Styela clava: one gene and its partner. The protein of the gene in region 2 purifies or fractionates together with the protein of the main gene of each other region. This does not show direct contact. Links are inferred from orthologs where the notes say so. Each region holds a gene or a part of one and is shown on either strand. Other genes may lie near its edges.

Region 1 (11,274 bases), on a different chromosome or scaffold from region 2:
GTATAAAATGGGACTGTGTGGCCACAAACTAGAACTGGGCAAGTAAAAAGAGCAAGTGATAATTAATACAATAATTAATATAATTTACTCATGCAAACATCAATTATTAAGCAATCACAAGAAGTGTGAAAAAAAAGTAGTAATGTTTTTGAAGAAAAATGAAGAGTAGTAAAGTGTCTTGGATGAAAATTATAACAGTTAGTATTTGCTGATAAAATACCATAATCAATAGAAATGACAAAAATTAAGAACAGACAGAAAACTATTTGTTTGAATATTGAGTTTGAAAAAAAACATGAACCTATTTAAAATCAGTGTGCAGTGCAGGATTAATATGAATTTCCAAAAAAGATTTGGGAATATATACTGGTATATATAATCCAGTCTTAGCGACTGAAAATAATAAACTCAGGAGATGTTCATTATACAATAGATTGATATTTTTAAATCGCTGCCTACATTTAATTCATTGTTCAAACGTTTACCGAGATATTCATATTTAATAGTTTAATTTTCTAGAATTCTTTTTCAGATAAAACCTTGATTTATAGGAAAATTGTAGCAAAATTTTTGTAGCAAATCATGATATATGCAATTGGAGTTATAAAATCCCACATAAAACTCTAAATACAGGAATCTGGTTGCACACCTCAAGTCTAGAAAGGACAATTTTTACAGAGTACATATTTTTGCTCGTGAAGAAGTGTCAGCAAAAAAAATAAATTGTATCATTAAAGAACATGTTTGACAATAGGTTGAGATTACGATACTGTTAAATATATAATGATAATTGAATTCTACAGCAGGCACCACTGTTGCAATTACTATGTTGACAAAGAAGTGAATTACAGAGTTATAAAAACCTGATAAACAGCTCAATCGAAACTAATATTCATTAACACTGAGAATAATTAAATAACAATCAATTGCAGGTAAAGCATTTAACAAATTAAGTATTATTAACATCATACACACACGGCACCCCTTTAAAAATGTACAACAGTGTCGCCAGCTTTTGTTTTAAATTTATTATTGAAATTATTATGAAATCAATTAAGTATACAAAGAATTTGTTCCGGCACAATGTGGCCAAGTAGTCAGTATGTCTGTCTGATTATGTTTGAATATTAAGTTATGCCCAGTGGAGTATGATTTGAGGTATATTCCTACAACACTTAACATACACAGAAGTATATGAAATATGAAAAAAACGTTTCACTTGACAAATTAATTATTGTAGTAGTAGCAACAAAAAGTCCCATCCACATCCGATCTTTTTACCAATACTGCACTAAAATTACTCAATACTGATATTGAAAAAGCGTCAAGATATGGCTTGAAAAGTGTAATAACCTTCATACAATTATATTTTATTAACTACCATACTTTACTAAATAAAATGTACCGATTTAAAAAATTTATTTCTAACGGGTTATCTTGCATAATGATTTGACGGATATAAAATGAAGAATTCAATAAAAAAAGATTCTGGCAAAGTGAATAATGTTATGGGAACAAAGCAAAGATAAATAACAAAATAATAAAAGTTAAACCTATCATGAATGACTAACTGGCAAGCAATGTAAAGTTTTGTAGCAATTGCAAATTCATAATTCCTTATAACATAGGTAAATTTAGCACACTGCTGCAGAGAGATATCCAAATAACTCCAGAATTTGGTTATGAAAGCGGAAAGCGTCAATATATAATATATAACGTTGAAAAATCAATTTATGTCACAAAATATTGTCTTATTTGCGATACTCTATACATTACAATATTGATACTATGACGTACCCCCAAAGTATGCCAATTTAAACTGAGTAGAGGGCGATCACAACACAATTAAGACTGTTAATTTCATAATGGAGCATCACTATATTGATTACCGGTAACTGCAAACTAATTAATACATCTTTAGGAACATTATCATTGAGTGGGACAAACTACACAAAAATTTGACCATGAAGCTGATCAAATAATAGAATTACCAATAAAATAACACAATTTGAAATGGACGAACTTGGAATAACTTTTCCTAGGAAAAGCTGCATTGAAAAGTCAAATAAATAAATAACCATGCGTCATTTGAATTGCGGCATCTTATAAAGTCAAAGTGCGTGCGCTTGTCGGTGCCGGAACTAATACTTTCAATATATAGTTGGTTATCAACGACGGCACTTCTTCACTATCTGCTTTGATGGCATCTAGTAATTTAATAAGAGCCTGAAGACCCTCTAGTGGAGGAACACCACCTTCGTCAAAAGGAATTACAGTAGTGAGAAATCTCCCAGGAGAGGATGACACTGATGCATTTGACATGCTGAAACTTTTTGACAATTTCCCTAACTTGAATCTGCTAGAATGCGCTTTATCATTCTGCTGAAATTGTTCCTGTTTACGTTGAACTTCTAATATTTTGGAAATAAATGTGTTACGAACTTCTTTCTCGTATAAAAGCTCATCGCGAAAATTTAACTGATTCAACAAATCTTCTGAAAGAAACTTGACAGTACTTTCCAAGCTACACAGCTCTTCATTTAATTCCGCAATTGACATTTGTTTCAGACTAGACGCTCTGTCACTTTCCTCCTGACTGGATGGCGATCCCAAGTTACGTCCATAAATTATACTGCTCTCGTCACTCATCAGGTCGTTTTCAATTGAAAATGCATCTATGCTTCCATCAGTATCAGCAATGATAATTCCAGTTTGTTGTTCCAACTCGTCGTCAAATGCTGCGTCCTGCTCATCTGCATCCAACATAATTTCTTCTAGTTCTTGAATGACTTCATCCGCAGATTGTAATTTCCCATTTCCAGTTGTTTCAGAATTCTGACAAGACATTTGATAAGGCTCACATTCTGAGTATACATTATACTCAATTAATTTGTGAAAATCCATTTGATTTTTAAGCTCATTGCTTTCAAATTCTGAATATCCATCGAGATCTTTTTCTACATTGCTTTGGTCTGATATGTTGAGATCCAGAGCAGGAATGTGTAATTTACGAATTTGTGAACTACACCAATCCAATGGTTTAACTAATCCATAGTTATCAGTGATCGACTTCCAAATATCATTGTAGTCTAAAATATCATTTAATGTTTGTAATGGTTTTACAATTTTATCATTGTTACTTGATTTATTTTGTATCTTAAAACATTTTGAAATCTTCTGCTCAAACTTTTTAACCAAATCTTCCATACTTCCATAATTCTCTGCAACGTTCAATGTTGTGCAATTATTCAGACCTTGCGTTATTCCATTTCCAAAAGAATTGAAATAATCATCACTGAAGCAATCCTCCTTTTTTCCATCACATGAAAATGAATTTGATGAAAAATTTCCCCAATCATCCTCAGTTTCTGCCATAGGGGCAGTCATTTTATAGACTAAAAACTGAAAAATAAATCAAACTGGAATAAGAAAAGAGGAAAGGCCAGGACAAGAAAATGTTCACATTTATCAGCATATCTCTGGTCTCAGGGTCTCTGTATATCATATATTATCTGTATATCAGAATATTAGTTCTTCGATTCCAAGAATAGCCCCCACATTGAAAGACATCAAACAAACAGTAAGTGTAAACCCCTTCTTTTTTGAAGAATCCAATGGTGATGTTTTCATGTCACAAATTTAAAAAACGAATATAGTCTTTTTGCAGTTGACAAGTGGTCCTTAAAGAATAATAAACAAACTCCTAACTCAATACAGCAATATCAGAATATGAGGACATGTCTTACAGTCTTATGACATACAGATGTCACCTCATGGCCCTAGGCTATGTACGGTAATTGCATAGGCGGTAATTGCGCGGCGGAGTGGCTCAACGGGCTAAGCGTTAGGAATACGCTCGCCACCGCACCTCTAATTACTCTGCGTGGGTTCGCAGGTTCGAATCCCATGCAGGGATGGTTATGTGCGTGAGGATTGCTGGACTCCTCGCCGTCGTTGGGTGGTTCACGTAACCGCTGGTCGGTTACGGCTTCCTCCACCACCAAGTCCATGCTTCCGAAAACAAACAATACAACTAATCCCATACCCGACTTGGAATGGTAACCGGACGAGAGGCCGTGGTTCGCCATAAGGATAAGCCGTCTTATTGGCTTTCCTCTCCCCCGGGATAAATATGTAAATCCTATCCTATCCTATCCTAGTAGCGTGCTGGCGTAGGTTCGCCGAAACGTCTAGGTAGGTTGTTGAGGTCAATATATACAGCAATATCTGAACATGTATGATAACCAAGTTGAATGGCTCAGACCTCTAGACAGCAGGACACTGTAACAGACTTGATTTCCCTGTCAATGCAGCAATGACTGAATGACTGGACAGAATGACCCAAATTCCAATTACTGGTGGGCCAACTAGTACTGAACTTGAACTCTGTTTATTGTTTCAACCTATTTTTCTAAACCTATCTTTTTGCCAACTGATTCCGGTACTTAACTTAAATATTTGAAATGAAATCAGTGAATAGGAGAGAATCATTCGATCACGAACTTGCTGAAAACAATAGGAAGACTAAACAAACTGCATTTTTTTGTGCGTGTGTGTGTATTGCCAAATTGTATTTCATAGCCAATATGAATTTTTACATTATAAATTTTGTTGCTTCAGATTAAACTAATGAAATAAATATACATACCGGTACCAACGTAAATTACTCCCCCCCCCCCCCCCCCCAGCTATTTTGATGGGTTCCTTATCCTTGTGCCTTTTTGGGTAATGTCAGTCAACTCGACCTTTGACCCGGGAAAATAGTGTACAAATATTTCCTTCGTCGTAAAATTCCCGACATCTATTTTGAACACAATTTGTATCCATCCGAGATAGCAGGAAATCGATATGAAATCATATCATGCGTACTAAAAAATGTCTTCTAGTCCTTTCGATTTTGTTAAGGAAAAAATCCCATGTGAACAATCCCGCAACAACGAGAAGTTCAGCAAACTTCCCATTTTCAGGAAATTTTTGGCGATTTAGGGAATTTTTATCGATTCCATAATTAAAATTAAACAGTTGTATAGTTTTCCTCGTTAATCATATATGTTACATCCAGTGGTGGGATCCAATTTTTTTGTCAGCCGGTTCCATCACATATCTTTCAGCCGGTTTTGTTACAAAAAGTCATGTTTTTTCAGTAATGCTAACCCAGTGGTTCCCAACCTTTTTTATGTCGCGGCACACTATTGAACTATTTAAATATTCGCGGCACACCTATCACAAAACAGGAACATTTCTGGGGAAAAATTTTATCTTCAACCACTGAAAATTTCAAAGCAATTGGTCCAGTATTCGAAGAGAAAAGCGGTTTTTTAATATTTCCACTGGGTGTGTTACTCTGTGTCAAATAACAACAAGAACAAGAACAACATAATATTGAAACGATCGTGATCGAACGATGCCACTACGTGTCCAAAAACACAGAAGATCAAATAAGAGAAATTCTATTTTTGTTAATATAACATATCCTGTATTTAAAATGGGTGGCTAATAGTTACCGATATTATAACTGTTTTCTTACAATAACGTACACGAGACCCACCATCAGAGCACCTCACATTTTTGTATAAGATGCGCGGCTGCACGGGTAATAGTCGTGACGCGATACGCTTTGGTTTTTCTCGCCCTTTCCCTGGGTGTAGCCTTCTTATTATCACAGGTATTCTCACTTTTGCACAACCTAATTTATTTTTGTTACAATTTAATGTTTCTCTCATTGCCAAAATCATTCAACGGTAATTGTCGGCACTAGCGAAATAAATGAAGGAGGCAAACAAACCGTATTTCATTACAACAATTAATTATTATCGCTAAAACACTAAATAGGTTTAAAGTTGTTATAAACAATTTTCACCGATGAACGAATCTTTTCACGTTATGAATTTCGTACAAGGCCCGAGCATAATTTGATGGCAAAGATCATAGCATTTACTACGTCGAAACGCTTATTCGACTTTCCGACCGCAGAAACTATCCGGAAAATAACCGTTTCTGCGTTCGAGATATGAAATAATCGTCAATTCCACCACGCTTTCGTGAAGTAGTGCAATTTACTACATTTAATAAAGGTTCTATTATTAAGTTTCATTGCATCAGTGTTTGTGCTCTCACTCGTTTCGCCTGATTACTGGCATGATTACAGATCGCAAGGATGGGCAAAAAAGAATATTTTTATCGAATCGAATTATTCGAATATTTTTAACGAATTGTCGAATATCGGATATTTTTAATACAAATAAAATGGGCATCCAGAATGCTAGGAATTCTAATGTTGATGAGCTATTTCCGCCAGTCCTCTTTTTTTACAAGGACTAATTCTTACGCAACGTTTGGTTTTATATTTTTAGGAGAACTATGCGTTCATATGGGCGACATATGTTGAAGACGGCTATTAAAGATTTTATTCTGATTTTCATCTTTTACGCCGGTTTTGACCTTTCTCCCCACCGATTGTAAATTAACTGTCCCAATGGTCCCAATTGAGCTAACAATATTATCATTTCTGACGTCGGAAAGCGGATATTTATAAAGACGATAGTTGACCTTCTTATGAATTTACTTTCTTATTGTGTCTGTTTAATTTTCGTATTAAATGGTGAATAAAAACTCTGCAAAGTCATTGCGTGAATCCTGAATGTTATTTTGAATTTGAATAATAATTAAATAAATAGGCAATAATGACAATTCTGCTAGTCAAATAATAATTCCTTCCTCAAATTTGGGAAAAATTTCGCACAATAATTTGTAACCTTGGTTGACATTTTCAATTTTACGAAACGGTGTTGGCGCGCATTATACAAAACTAAGAATTAAAACAATACCCAAATACCTGAAAACGACTCCTCAAATTTGTCGCTTCTGTTTGTTAGCAAGAGCTGTGAGTAATTCTTCTGGAATTCAAGGGACTAAAAATTGGAATCACTTGATATAAATTCAAAAATGAAATCTCTTTGCGGCACACCAAAATCTTTACCCTGGTTGTGAACCACTGTGCTAACCGGTTCGCTGATCTCATAAATTTCCGTGAGACGGTTCTATAGAACCGGTGCGAACCAGCTGAATCCCACCACTGTTTACATCACAGAAAATGACAACCTTCTATAGTTAAATGATGTAGGATATGAATTCATATTTATCCCCTAATCTGGGGGAGTCGATAAGGCGGTTTATTCATTTGGCGACGCCCTCTCGTTCGATTACCAGTCCACGTCGGCTATGGTAATTGGTAATACAGTAGTAATCCAGTTGTTCCATATGCATGCACGCAGAGAAACCCGTGACCCTGTTTGCGAAATAAATCCCAATGCCAAAAGGAATTTTCGTATTGAGATTTTAGAATAGAATCATCATATATTTTTTTTATTGATAAAAACATTACTTTTTATACACACGATAACACATAAATAAAGTCGCATTTAAGAAAATGAGTTCATGATAATTTTCCACCTCTTAACGTGGTTCGACAGTTTTTAGTTGAATAATTTTTCACGGTTAAGAACGCTTTTTATCATATATAAAAATTGATCAAATTGAGGCCTTTCATTACGTAGTTTACATTTATAATTATAATATCTTGCAGTTAATAAAACACAGTTTATACGTTGGTTTCATTATATTTTTATTACAAAGTTGTTTGTTTCTATAACTTGGTTTTTCAATTTAAACACATTCCTCTTGACCGGGGGTTACGTGAACCACCCTTCGACGGCGAGCAGTCCACCAATCACCTCGCATATAGGCATACTTCAATGGATTCCAACATGTCAATCTAATTAGAGGTATGGTGGCAGTGCATTCCAAACGCTCGGCACGCTGCGTCAGTCGCCGAGCTCTGGACATTGAAGTTTATTTGACGTGAAAAATACCTTTTTGTGTAATGGACTTGGAAATATACGTTTAATCCTATCGGGTGGGTCGTACGAAATGTTTTTTGATACAAAAGAAAATTCAAAATAAAAAACATGTTAAATAGAACAAGGTGGGTAATGCAAAAGTTTTAAACTTCTTTCTGCGAATAATTTGTAACAGCCTTACAGTTTTTCACTAAATCGAGGATCACATGATTTAGTCAAATAAGTTTCCAATATTGTTGACTGTAGATATTTTCTTCTCTAATTCGGACAATCACCATTGACACAAATGTCATTCTGTTCCTTTGAATTTAATATCAGTGAGGGGGTTCCATTACATTTGAACCCACGGCATTTGAACCCATGACAATTGCACCTGCATACTATTGCACATATGGAAATTTTTTGTTTTACGGATAATTTAACCCATACTCACCCTAACCCATGGGTTTTAGCAACCGCATATAGATTGAACCCGCGGATATACGCATGGGTTCAAATGTACGTGGGTTCAAATGTACGGTCACCCAGTGAGGGATATGTCGCTTTATGCTTTATCTTGGGATATAAATTTTTGACAGTTGTACTTTTAAATTGATTAACTTCATTATCTATAACGCAAAATTTCAGAGATTCATCAATCTTGCGGTTTCTATATTGATATTATAAAATTGATTATAGCCAATGTGTATACTGTACATGATAATGTTTTGAAGCACACATTCATTCAAGTGTTGTGTTTGGGAAGACTAGATGAGTTCTCAAAGAGCCCTATACGGAGCAGCAGTGCTACGTGAGAAAACCCCAAGGGCTCCGCGAACTATTCGTATACTCATTAAAATATTGACCTGGCTAATTTTGTAATTGTCTAATAAAGCAATAACGGCATTAATAAAATTTGACAACCGCAATTTAATCCTTTTTAAATAGAAAGCAGCAAATAGTCATTAAATAAAGTACTTTTAATTTACTCAGGAACATTAATCGTTTATAAATTTATTTCAACCTCTCCACGGACTCCATAATACCGAAAGTTTGAAAACCCCTGAACTATAGCATACTTTCTGACATGATTGAATGAATGCAAGCAATAGCCCCAAAATGACATGCTTTGAGGCTTGTCCCAGCACACGTTCATTCAAGTGTCACTTTTGGCCATGATTGACAAAATGAAAACAATAACACAAAATGGTATGATTTGTGTAATTGTTTGTAGCACACGTTCATTCAAGTGTCGTGTTTTGTGTACTTTGCCATGCAACAACTCAAAATGACAGGATTTATGGCTTGTCCTTTAGCTCGCCAATGTCCGTGCTGATCTAATCCGCCTTCACTTGACATAGCAGAGTGCCGCCGATACACGCAACGTGAATGTGCATAAGCGACCGGTCTGCGATTTCCACCCAGGGTAGGGTTGCCAACCGTCATTTATTTTATGGGATAATCCTATTAAGCTTTTAGGTCCTTGTCCTTGTAGAAAAGATGCTAATCATCCTTTATGCTTTCCAACATCGTTTTGCCCGATAGTTATAGTACTGTGTTTGGTATTGTTCCGTTCCTAAAAATCGTATCCGTTTATGTATTTGCAAGCTTTTAATTATTCTTAATTTCGCTTTTGTCCGGCTCAAATAGCGAAAGAAATAACAATTTTATTAACATTGTTTGGGTCAATGTTAAATAAACAATACATGAAGACTGTTTCAATATATCTTTTTGACTTGTATATAATTTTTATTTCATTTTATACTGTTCTTTCGCAAGTTACAAAATAAATGATGACGGTAATCTATGTCCTTTATTAAAACTTTTCATAGTTGGAAACCCTAACCCAGGGGCAGGAAAGGCCAATTCGAATAAAGTATTCGAATATCTCGTTATTCGAATATCGGAATTAGCGTTCATGAGAATATCGGATATTTGTGTGACGTTACACATTTTCGACGCCGCTTTCAAGACGTTTCCGTTGAGTGAAAACATTCTTGATAAGAACTTGCGCGCGATTGCTTTATCAGCGGGCGTGTTATTTAGGCCGTAAACGCCTTTACGTTTGTGTTATTTTCTCTGAAACGAAAATTTTCCACAAATTTGTTCCACATAACGATGACACTGATTTGATTTTTGTACTCGCACAGAATTGTGAATTGTGAGAGTACGTTCATCGGCGGCGAGTTTCTAAATAAAACTCAAATTTTTTGATTGAAAAGCGGCAATTTAATATACTGAAAATAAAACCGTAAACAAAATATGTTTTATTGAGGCCCGCGACAGTTTAAAAAACGCTCATTTAGGCAGTGAAAATCGCAAAATTTCCACATTATGTTTGGTCCGCGTTTAGAAACATATCGTCACTAATTGAGGGCGGGATTTGCCTGATTATCCTTACCTCAATTAAATTGCCGTCGAAAATTTTTGTGTTAACATTATACAAGGTTTGAAACGCGACTTTTACCGGGCTGTGAGAATGTATATAATATAATTAATCTTAAGTATATTCAATCAATTTTTATTGTGCTGAAATAAATTTTACTCTGAGATTTTACGGCAGATTTATGGATTTTTCGAACGGTTTTATCTCAAAAATAATCGGAGTGGCGGCATTTCGATTGAGCGGAGTCAGTGTTACACATCTCAAATTTGCCGAATTCGCAAAATACGGATCAAAACAATATATAATCGGACAGTTTACCACACATTTTTATTTTTATGTCCGCGAATGCCATGGCATATTAGAGTGGTGAGGATTTTATTTTGTCGACGCAACCGCAGGTTAAATTGAAAACAATTAAATCATTAAAGCAAGACATTTTAAATATGCTCGTATTGGTCACGAATTAATCACTTTGCACAACAGAAAAATAAATATATATTTGTTGTTATATTATTCGTTGTAAAAGTCGGCTCTTTTAACAGGTGGAGTAATCGCGGCGATGAATATGTATTTTTAATTTACTGCTAAACTTTATATGTATATTCATTGTATGAAATGAAGTTATTGAGATTTTTCTAACGGCGATAACGAGTTGGCAAGATTGCAAAAATACGTATTAACGCCGTGGACCAAATAGTAATGTTTTTATTTTGACGTAAGTAGAAGCAACCGCGAGTTACGTTGGACACATTAAATTAATATATAAAGATATTTTAGAATCTCGTAGTTGTCATGGATTGAATAATGTACGTGACAGGATGATGATTATACGCTGAAAAGACTGCTCTTTTAACGAGCACGGAATCGCGGTGGATGTTACAGGCGGCAATGGGAATTTCCGATTTTGAAAATCCTGGCTGCGCGCCTGGCAGTGGTGGTCCTCTATCCTCTAATTTATTGCTAATTTCAGACTTAACAATATGCTGAACATAATAACCACAAACTATTAATTACTTTGTATACATATACTGTTGGTTTGTGGACTATTGA
Region 2 (11,259 bases):
CTAATGAGTCTAGATCAATTTTTAGTGCTAAAAATCAGGGTTTTTCAATATTACCACCTGATAAGTCGAGGCAGAAAAATAGTGTTACTTTGTCTGTTTTGTTTCTTTTCACCTTGAAAGGCCTTTTTTTTCATTATTTTATTCATACAATATGTATTTTTAGTATAAAAACTACTTATTAGACTTCAATTGCCACATTTTCAAATTAGTCCTTACCAAATAATGAATTTACTATGTCAAATATATATTTCAAGTCATATTGGAAATCCTCTTACAAGTTTAGTATTTCCAAACACAGAGAGCCCCAAAGGCAAAGTCTAAATCGAATAATCGTCAGTGCGGCAATGACAACCATGTGAAATAATTTCAATGATGAAATAATCCATAGGAGAAAATCACTTTTTTATGGTAATATAACTCAAAAACATAAACAACATTGACGTACATTGTGAAAAGTTCAATTGCGAGCAAGGATGACCAAAAAGATTCTATTCTTTTTACTATTACGAATACATTCTGGAATAATATTTTGAATATCATAAATTTTTCCTATGAAGTATTTATAAAACTTTTCTATGTACAAGGCAGCCATACTGTCGCTGTAGTTTGGGAAGAACGAAATGTTTTCAGTTTGACATCGGCTACATAATTCATTCTATCCAGGGTGAAGTGGCGGGCATGGCATGGACATTGATCCCGAAATATGTAATCATATTTACTGGTAACCACTAGGCCAGGGCTACTCAACTATAGGGGCTCCCGAAGTATGCGAACCAAGATGGCGGACATCGGAATGTAATATGTGTACTAGGTTAGGGTTAAGCCATAATTTTAGGTATAAATACTACGGGAGGCTCTTGGCTAATCTTCAAACTGATAATAGGACTAAAATAAGGAAAATTGGAAAAATATTATCGCCTAACCCTAACCTGTTACGTTCCGATGTCCGCCATCTTGGTTCGCATACTTCGGGAGCACCCAACTGTATTTACCGAAGATCCGCATACAAAACTACAAAATTATTTGGGTCCGGTGTTTCCAGAAATTATATTTCGGCATCCTTTATTAACGCCCACTTCCTCGACCGGTCAATGATTATCAGCTAATCAAGATTGTTTATTATGGTGTTATAGTTCTTTTCATATATATTCAAAACAATAAGTCATTTTATAAAATGAAACGTTAAAAATCAGGCTAATGATTCAAAATAAAGATTGAGATGCGGTTCAGATTCGGACCGGGGTACGCCAGTTGAGTAGCCCTGCACTAGGCGACCATGTCCACACTATACATAAAGTAAATTGGGTTGCATACAACAGGCAAGTTAAAAATAATCAATATAAAAAAACAGTAGAAACAGAAACCCTTTCATTTAATTAGTGAGATTTCTCAAATTATAAAATATCAGAAACCTATCAAATAACTGTCTATTTCACTTTTGTGCACACCCGAGACAAACAATTTTATTTGCCTTTTCAATGAGCAAGACTCAAATTAGAATATATTCGATATTTTTTAATAAACGTCTTTTTGAATTCAAAATATTGAATATACACTGTATGGTAAGAACTTTTACTTCCCTGATACCTCATATTCAAAATATAATTTTAAATGTATTCAGTTTTGGCCAACTTTGAGCACAATATTCCACTTTATATTATACGATAACTCAATTAAATTGAAATTGGCATAGATTTTTAATGTGGAAAAAGTGAAAAAACATTTCTCATACCGGGCTTCCAAAGGTAACTTGCTCAGCAGAAGGAAACTTTGCCAAGAATTGATCCCCTCTTGTCTTTTCTGATGGATTGAGCGGCCGAAACCGACACATTACCTGAAAAAAAATATAGAAGTACGCTTATTTTATAGATTTTCGTCCACAGGTCTCACATCAAAAAATGGTTTTCTGTCGCAGCACAGGAATAACGAACCATGACCTTTTTTCCCGAAGCACATCCTTATTTACTTCCGTAACATTAACTAATCAGTAACATGCAAAAAGTGACATAACAATGGAAAATTTTATCAGTTGTTGAGTAGGCTATTGCTGGTCTTTCAGACAAATTTTTGGCATCGTTGTTAACATTGTCAGTTTTTAGTATTGTTTCGGATTCAAGTATGGATCAAATACCCTAATTATACTTTCCCTCACTTAGAGTTTTAGTTTAATAGCAGTAATCAAAAAGTTGTCTAGAAATAGCAGTGATAGATTATGCCAAACTTTTTTATCGATACTTCTATATGAAAGGTGGTTGAATATTTTAAATCAAAATGTTAATTTGAAACATCTAAACTTCCCACATCAGAAATTTTTAACACAAATTCAGTATTTCAATGAAAGCTTGCAACTCTCCTTTAATTCGTTCAAGCCAAAATTAGGTTAGTAATGAAGCTGGATATATAGATTCAATCATAATTTGAAAGCCTGTTTTTTTGGGTCTATTGGGCTGTCATATAAATAGTTGGATAAAAATAGATAATTGGTCCCTATTTAAATGACAATCTTGGTGGAGGAGGACTATTGGGATTCCATAGAGATGAGCTGGTTAGGAGATATGGTCCAAATCGCCATTTAAATAGCATTCTCTTTAGAGGTCTCATTTCAGGTGTTTTGGGCTGCCATATAGACAGGGTTGCCATATCGTGCTTATTTATAAGATTTATGCTTATTCTCTAGCCTGCGTCTTATAAAGTAACTATGTGTTTATTTCTAAGAAAAGTGCTTATTTTTGAGTTGCGTGCTTATTTGGTGTTAGAAACGTGGGTGACCAGTACTTGTTTTGTGTACAAAGCTTGCGTGGAAACGACAGACGAACTTTTTTCAACGGTGGGGTTTGCGGTATTTCCAGGCAAACTGTGACACACACAATAGTTGATGCTAGTTTTTAGGAATACTGTTTTTAGGGACTAACTGCAATTTAGAGTAAGCGTGACCATGAGTTCTGTTTCGAACATGAAAAGAAATTTTCTATTAACTACTGCTATTGCGACATCGAGAAAGGTGGAAAACAGTAATCGGTGCCCACAATACTACCGCATTGCGGGAAACCAAAGTCGCTATTAAAGTGCAAAATTTGAATTTCTAATCTGTATAAATAATGTGGTTCATCAGTCACCCGTTCAGTTTTTAGCTTTCTGGAAAAAATATGTGCCGCCCGCCAAGATTCGTAACACTTGGTTGCCGACCCTTGTCTTAGAGATAGCGTGTGGCAGTGACTCCGTGTCTTTCCATTGCTTTTTGCAATTTTGGAGCTGCGTACAACCATGTTCGAAGCGACTTCTAATGATAAAAAGTGGGAGACTCGTGTATGATCTCCTTCTCATTCTTATTCTGCCGTTGTTAAGACCCCTCCCCTTGAAAAATACCATTTTGACGCCCGTGCTTATTTTTGGCTCTGGGTAGATGGCAACCCTGCATATAGACAAGTTAAGAATGGGGATGGATATAAGGTCCCAGTCACCATTCGAATGTTCTCTTCAGTAGAGAGCTGCTGGGCTATCATATAGACAGCAAGTTAGGAATAGGGGTGGAACTATAGTCTTAATCGCTATTCGAATAAATGTGCTTTACACTAGAGGGCTACTGAGCTGCAAGATAGATAGCAAGGTAAAAATGGAAATGTGGTCTAGGGCTGGGCATTTTCGAGTACCTTGTGATTTCAGAATCGAATCGAATAATTTTCTCGAATCGAATCTCGAATACTTGGAAATATATAATTGTAAGCGACTTTATTATAGTAATTGGTCCTCTCAACAATTGAATTACCGAAGACATAGAATGATTCACTCAGATAGATTACTGAGCGTTCACACAGAATAACAAACACGTTTTATCAATAACTCACTACAGAAAATAGTCGTATGTTAGAATTCCGTTGAAAAAATATGACTCTAATAAAAGAAAAATTAGGGAATTCACCTCGACCATTAGCGGAAAGATAAAAACAAGATGGCGGCGATTCGAAATTTAGCTCTGAACCGATTCGAATAATTTACTATTCGATTCGAATATTCGATTCAAAATGCCCAGCCCCAATGTGGTCCTAATCATCATTCAAATGGCATTCTCTGCAGAGGTCTATTGACCTACCATATATACATCAGGTTAGGAATAAGAATGGGTATATAATAGTACCAATTACTATTTGTATTGCTTACTCTTCTCTGTCGAAAGTGGTACATTTCTGAATTTATAGTCTATGTCACAATAAATTAACCATGTAGTACTCTCATTTTTTTCTTAACTCAACTTGAAGTTTTATCTTCTTTCCTGAATATCTGTGCTGTGTGTTCGTCTTGTATATCATAATTTACTGTTTGGAACAATGGCAAAGTTAAGACAAATTATCTATCTTATCAAAGTTGTCAATCATCATTTGATCGGTTTCTCCATACATGGCACGTGGACAGAAGGTTAGGAGTAAAGATGGAGATAATATGGTTCTAATCTGTACATTAATGGTTTCCCCCATATGGACATCATATTAGGGAAAGATATAATGTTCTAAGCGTCATTTAAATGGCCTTCGTAAATGGCTATTGGGCTGTGTGATACTAACCAACGTCAATAAACATACACAATACCTTTATGCTGCATTCTGCCGATGAAGCCTCTCCTGCGTCAGTCATCTTGAATCAAGACGCCAAACAGTTCAGCAGTTTATAATCCAATTCTCCAAATGAACGTTGGAATATTTTCTTCTAAATATTCATATGTATTTGATCAAAGAATACCTAACCAAGTGAGATATTACTACTAATAAATCCCTGTAGAACAAGAAAATATTTTTAAATTTGTGAATGATCATAGCAATAGCAACTTTCAGTGTGCACAAGTGTTCTAAAGGTTTTTCAAAGGTGATGCATCACTATGATTGGGGTCTTACTACTTACTGAATAAAGCGTGAAACAGAAGAAAAATAGCACGAAATACAGTACACATTGAAGTAAAAAGAATATAATGATCATAAAATATATTCCATGATTTCTGTGAAGCTAGCAAAAAAATGTTCTCTAGCTCTGTTCCGTTCTGCATCCAACAATACAGCAATATGAATTAACCCAGTTAAATCAACCTCCTCCTGAAAGAAAACTTCAAAATGTAGGGTGGTGTTGCCAGTCTGCTGACGATTCCATTCAAACCGCTATAAAACAAAAACCAATATTTCGAACCCGTTCACCGTAGGTGCATTGGCATTTATTCTACATGCTAAACCTCGAATTACCTTTCTACAACCAGGGGATAAAGCTATACAAACCACCAAAGTACGACACTCGGAAGACATATTTGCGACCGAACAACCAGTGTGCGACCACAGATTTCAAGCTTTAAACATCGTTTCTGCTGTGTCAAGACTAGGGCATACGCAGCCATGCATGAAAAAATGGGCTTCTAATTGCATTTCTGACCGTCATATATTTTAAGAACACAGTCATTTCGAACAAAACTCGTCAAATTATATACAAAGCACCGCATCACAGCAATCAAACAGACAAAAGCACGGTGGTCACAAATTGGTCGGCAAAGATATTATCGACGTATTGGAAATGCGCACCCCCTATTCCCCCTCCTTTACAACGTAAAAACGCGAAAATTTAAAGATGGTTGAAAGAAACACAACTCTATCTCTTATATTTGTATGAATTTTCAAGTTTTTTTGATGGGACAATGGGTAGTTGGCGACATGAAAAAATGGTCCGTTTCTTTTCCTCGGTCAGGTTTTCGGTTGTAACTTTTTTGTTTGTGACCGCATTTTAGTGTAATTTCGCAGAGCTACGAGGGACAAGTGGACGGTAACGTGTGAGAAATATCGTCACAATTCGATAAATTTTCGACATTAATTAGATAGTCGAAGTTGATGGCCGCAATTAGGTCTTGGGCGCAAAGTCAGAAAGTGGGTAAGCCACCCTAGTGCTGTAGTGACTGTTTTTGATGAGCAATGCAACCCAAGCAAATCCATTTGCAAACTCCCAATTATTTTGTTGCTATTTTTTATTCCACAGATAGTTCAAATAGAATACTGGAATGAGATTTATTTAGGCCCATCCCTCTTTCAGTCTTTCGCAATAACTGAATAACAGGAAAAGAGACGATCTGCAAGATTTAACTACTTTGATTTGTAATATTACTATTATATTGCAACAGACTATTATACATAATCAGTTGCTTAAGCAAACTAGTAAAACTTAATACCGGTACTACCGGTAGGTATTTTGTCAAGCTGTCACGGTCAACAGGACAATCAGCTCAGAATGGCAGAAACAATACGGCTGAGATTCCACTTGGTTCTGCATTAAAACTAAGTCTATCAACTCATTAATGGAATAGGCACACAGCCAAACGTAAAAATAACGAAACCTAAAATTACAAACCGAAATAGCCTTGTCGAGGCAACTGCAAACCCTCGAATAACTAAAAATCACAAACCGCCACCCCTCGACACCTGCTGTCTCAAAGCTTTCACATCGATCGTTCTGTCTGGGGATGACGTCATCGTGCCGAGATGACCCGATTTGTTTGACCTTTTAAAAAGTATTAAACGACCTTTAACATTTTATGTTCAAGAGGAAAGTATACAAATAGTGAAAAAATAAAATAAATTAAATAAAACAATTAGTATAGATGATGTTCTCGTGTTGTTTAGCCACCATGTACCTTTTCATTCAATAAAATATGTAGTCTCGAACACGGACTTGAAGCCAAACGATAGTTTGTGGTTATGCAGATGGATGAAAAAAATCTCATAAACTCTGCTATGACAGGATGTTTCCCCGTGCAGCAACTTGTTTGTTTATTTCCGTAACAATAACAAATCAGCAATAAGTTAACAATGACGTAACAATTGGAGTTTATAGATATTCAAGCATGGTTGTAAACATTGTATCTTTTTGATAATATTTTTTCCAGGGGTCAAGGGTCGGGGAAACGTCCATAGAATAGGGATAACACACAAAACGGAAATTTCGGAAAGTTTTCAAAACACCTTGCGACATAGAATATAAGTGAAAAACATCGCCAGCTCTATGGAATTTCCACAAATTTGAAAATACCAATATAATACCACTACCAATAGTCAATACAAATGTAATATTAGATTTCTCCATTAAAAAAATATTGCACGATATAAGAACCGCAACCACATTTTTCTTTTTTGAATTCTAGTGTGTATAAAGTATTGCCATGATCTCCTTTCGATCAGTGTCTCACATCCTAAATTGATTTAAAAGGTATTACCCGATTTTATATCGTGTCTTTATTTTATTGTGTTCTTATGACTGCTCGCCGTCCAGGTCCTCTACATTTTGTTTGTCCGTTTTTTTTTTTTTTCAGAGTGGCCACAATATGATAATCAAAATTGATTATGTCAAGTATTAAAATCCGGTTGCCAACAGTTTCCATTCAGACATAAATGCACAGGCTTCCAGCCTTCCAATGCTGCAAGCTGATACGCTATTGCATAAGTCAGGATAGGAATTTATCCCGTGGAGAAACAGGCCGATGTTACGGCCAACCACATCGCGCACAAAATTATGTCGTCCGATGACCAGTTCATGCGTAGTATACATAAGTATAGTTTACCAGTTGTTTGTTTCGTGGATGGACTTTATGGTCGAGGGAGTCTTAGCTGACCAGCGCTTGCGTTTAGCAATCCTCTCGCACATAATTGTCCCTCATTGGATTCGAACCTGCGATCCGGCGCCGGGTAACCGTGATCTAACGCTTTGCACCCTTCGCCAACTGCCGAGTCCAGTAATTTGAGATAATTAGTCTGGGGTTGCCAAGCGTGACGTTGATTAAAATCTGTTAATTAGGTAAGATTCTGATCCAACGGTCTTCGTCGGTATCGGTGGCGCAGGGGAAGCGTAGAGACATGGTTACACCTTGGGCCAGGTATAAGCGTGGGTTCGAATCCCACGAGATAGACGGAGCTATGGGAAAGAACCGTGTGTGGGTTAGGTAGAGACAGTAGGCGAGGAAGGCAGGCATAAGGTAGGACCGCCAAGAGCAGGCGGGCAAGTGAGATGAACAAGGAAGGAAAGCGGACGTGCAGATTAGACGGGAAGGCCATGAGAAGACAGTAACGCAGATTGGAGTGGAATCACTAAGGCAGATGAGTCATGCGTGAAAAAAGAAGAGCCTGGGCTAACTCTGCGAGGAGGAGATAAAAGGGAGAACCGCCAGGAGCAGGCAGTCAAGTGAAATAGACCAGTCAGAAATGAGGACAACGGACAACAGACAGACGGATGAAGCGGAAGGCCGGTGCGACCACCAGAGCAGGCAAAGGCGGATCCAAAGAGAAGACCCCTATGTGTAGGCAGAGGATAGCTAAAGACTGGGAAAAAAGAAAGGAAAAAGAAAATAAGAGGAAAAAGAAAAGGCTACCAGAGCAGGCAAAGGCGGATCCCCATGTGTAGTAGGCAGAGGATAGCTAAAGACTGGGAAAAGAGGAAAAAGAAAAGGCTGGGAACGGGAGGAAAGCCGAAAGAAGGGCATACCGCCAATAGCAAAAGCAGGACAATAAAATAAGATAAGCGAGAAAGGATCAGGCGAAAAGCCGAAGAAAATACAGGAAAACAGAAAAAACAACGCAGGTGTGAGTGAGTCAGGCAAAGAGTGCCAGAAGAGCAGGTCCAAGACAAGGAGGAGAAAGTAAAAGAGCATCTTCATCCTATGCCCGAGATTTGGATGTAGGAAAAAGAAAACAATGCTTGCTTAATGCCAACAAGGAAGCGGAAAGACAGCTCTGGCTGACCCAAGGGAGCAAACAGGCCCGCGAAAATCAAGATGCCACACCAAGACCGGCGAAAAAAAAACTATTTTCCCTTTTTTTTTTAACGGGCGTCAAAGATTAAGCAGCCATTTTTTTGGTCGTCGAGGATGTAGGAAAGAAACCGTGCCGGCGGGCGAGCTGTATGGTCAAGCCTCCACTCCGGTTTTATCCGTGAAACAATTTAGGCGACTCCAAACACTACGAACTAATTTACGAATTTATTCATTCGCGAGGTGTCACTCAAGATCAATCAAAGTGAGTGATCAGTTGCCATAACGACGTTTTGATGACGCGCTTCTTCTGCAAACATTTGAGATAGCGATAACTTTGTAATCAAATTAAATAATTCAGACGCGATAATTTGATTAATTTGGAACATTATTGTGATAATGATTATGTTATTTAGAGAAGACCGTTAGGTTATTTGTAGTTTTAGCTAATCGCAAGTTATGTACAAATATTATATGCAATGTAAATTTGCAAATTAAAGCATTAGGAAAATAGATAGATAGTTTATTTCGAAAACTCCATAACAAACATAAATTAAATATGGAGAATTCTGGAGGGCAAGCAAAACCTATAAAAAAGTTTATAAAACAATGAGAAGTATCTCATGTGCCTGCCCACAAAAATACAAGCCCAATTAAATGAGGCTTGGGCCAAACTTAACAAACAAATGTATGTATACATGATAGTAATAAACTATTGGGCTGTTGTACTTTTTACAAGGTACCGGTACAATTTACTTGGTTACCGGTGTCCTGGCATTGATATCATGAACTGCCAATAACTGTAAAAAGATGTAGCGCAAACAAAAAGCAGGGAGATTCGCTCTGTGTCTTGTTGTTTATTGCAGTAATCTAAATTGGTCTGGGGTTTCAGAGATTGGAAGTGGTTTTACTGAGACAGATGTATTTATGTGGAGCCACTCACTCAAAGCCTCACAGTTAGGATACAGTAGGATAGGATTTACATATTTATCCCAAGGGAGAGGAAAGTGATACGCCGGCTTAAATATATGGCAAACCACTGCCTCTCGTCCGGTTACCAGTACCGGTACATGTTGGGTATGGTATTAGTTAGCCAATTATTGGTTTTCGGAAGCATAGGCTTGTTCCACATTGCTCCTTGTTCTCAATGAAGCACTAGCCCAAATAGTTGCAATCAACTACTGAGAATTTTAAGCTTCACTGATAATGGAAAATTGGTTACTTCCAAATAATTTATACCATTCCAAGTATTAGCGAAAGGTTAGCATTCGTACAAGTTCATTCATCTGAAACAAGTTAACTGGGTAACTATTTCCATACGCAAAATGCACCGGTAATCATACAAGAGAGCATGGTTGCCATATGTTAGGCCATCTTAGCAGCGTTTCTCTCCCTGGGACTAAGATCCTATGCCAAAGATAGCAATGAGACACTGTCTGAAAATGGAGCATAATACTGCAATAAATGAAAATAATGTCATTTAAATTGTGGAATTCCAAATCTGATTACCAACAATATATTATTTAATTTCAGCCTATATATATCTTCTTTAATTTGTCTTAAAAAAGCACAAAATGCCGAATAAAAAAGGGTCCGAAAATAAAAAGAAAAAGGCGGTTTATCCGCCAGCATACTCGCCAGGAAAGAGTAGCACTCTAAAAGAGGTCGAATCAGAGTACATCAAAAATCTGCAACAACAAATCTACTTCCTTGAGTTAGAAACGACATATCTACGAGATCAAGCGAAAAAAGCGACCGATATTCAACCAAAATTAGTCAAAGAAGCTGATCAAATGATGACTCAGCTCAAGGAACGACACAGCGAAACGAATGATCTCAAAATCGAAGTTTCAAGAAAGGACGCTTCAATCTCAATGCTCACAAATGAAAAGAATCGTCTTGATCAAGAACTCCGAGCGAAAGTAACAACGTTTGACGTTGATAGAGGAATGCTCCGAGAAGAAATTATCCAACTTAAAAAGCTTAAAGACGTTGCTGATCGAGATATAGCTCGAAAAGATTCTGAAATTGTAAATTTACGACAAGAATTAGACCGCACAAATTCAGATTTACGACACACTCAACACAACTTAGCTCTCGTACAATCTCAACTTGACCAAAGAATCACTCAACACACTGAAACCGCTTTACTTCTCGAAGGGAAACGAGAGGAAAATCTACGCTTACAATCTGACATGCATGCAAGCGAAGAGCGACATTTCCAACAAACGGCTACAATGCAAGAACAAATCACTCGTGACCTGCAGACAGAAATTCGAGGGCTTAGGCAACAAGTACGAGAAAAAGAGCTCGCGTTTTCCCAAGAAAGAATTCTAAAAGACAAACTACTCGGAGATGTCTCGAAATTGACTCAAGAAAACACCGCAGTTCAAAGTCAAATTTTGGAGTTGTCGAAACAACTGGACCGCGAAAGAATCCTTCGCGGAGAAAGAGAAACAAGAGCTATGTCACATACATCTCAAATTGCGTATCTAAAA

What was found. The genes of interacting proteins can lie anywhere in the genome.
Region 1: the proteins of kinesin heavy chain-like (region 2) and fasciculation and elongation protein zeta-2-like purify together in Drosophila melanogaster (affinity purification with western blotting; 3 studies listed by BioGRID). This does not show direct contact. The link is inferred for Styela clava from reciprocal best matches to the Drosophila melanogaster genes Khc and Unc-76.

What each region holds. Positions count from the first base shown.
Region 1 is NC_135263.1:11,068,936-11,080,209, reverse strand, and holds the start of fasciculation and elongation protein zeta-2-like, read right to left. Parts: upstream 4,666-11,274; 5' UTR 4,649-4,665; intron 3,681-4,648; 5' UTR 3,388-3,680; coding exon 2,104-3,387; 3' UTR 1-2,103.
Region 2 is NC_135262.1:2,469,923-2,481,181, reverse strand, and holds the start of kinesin heavy chain-like, read right to left. Parts: upstream 4,764-11,259; 5' UTR 4,630-4,763; coding exon 4,585-4,629; intron 1,835-4,584; coding exon 1,733-1,834; intron 1-1,732. Other genes in the region: uncharacterized protein LOC120332555, read left to right, coding at 10,336-11,259. UniProt on the Drosophila melanogaster protein: Kinesin is a microtubule-associated force-producing protein that may play a role in organelle transport. Milt and Miro form an essential protein complex that links Khc to mitochondria for light chain-independent, anterograde transport of mitochondria.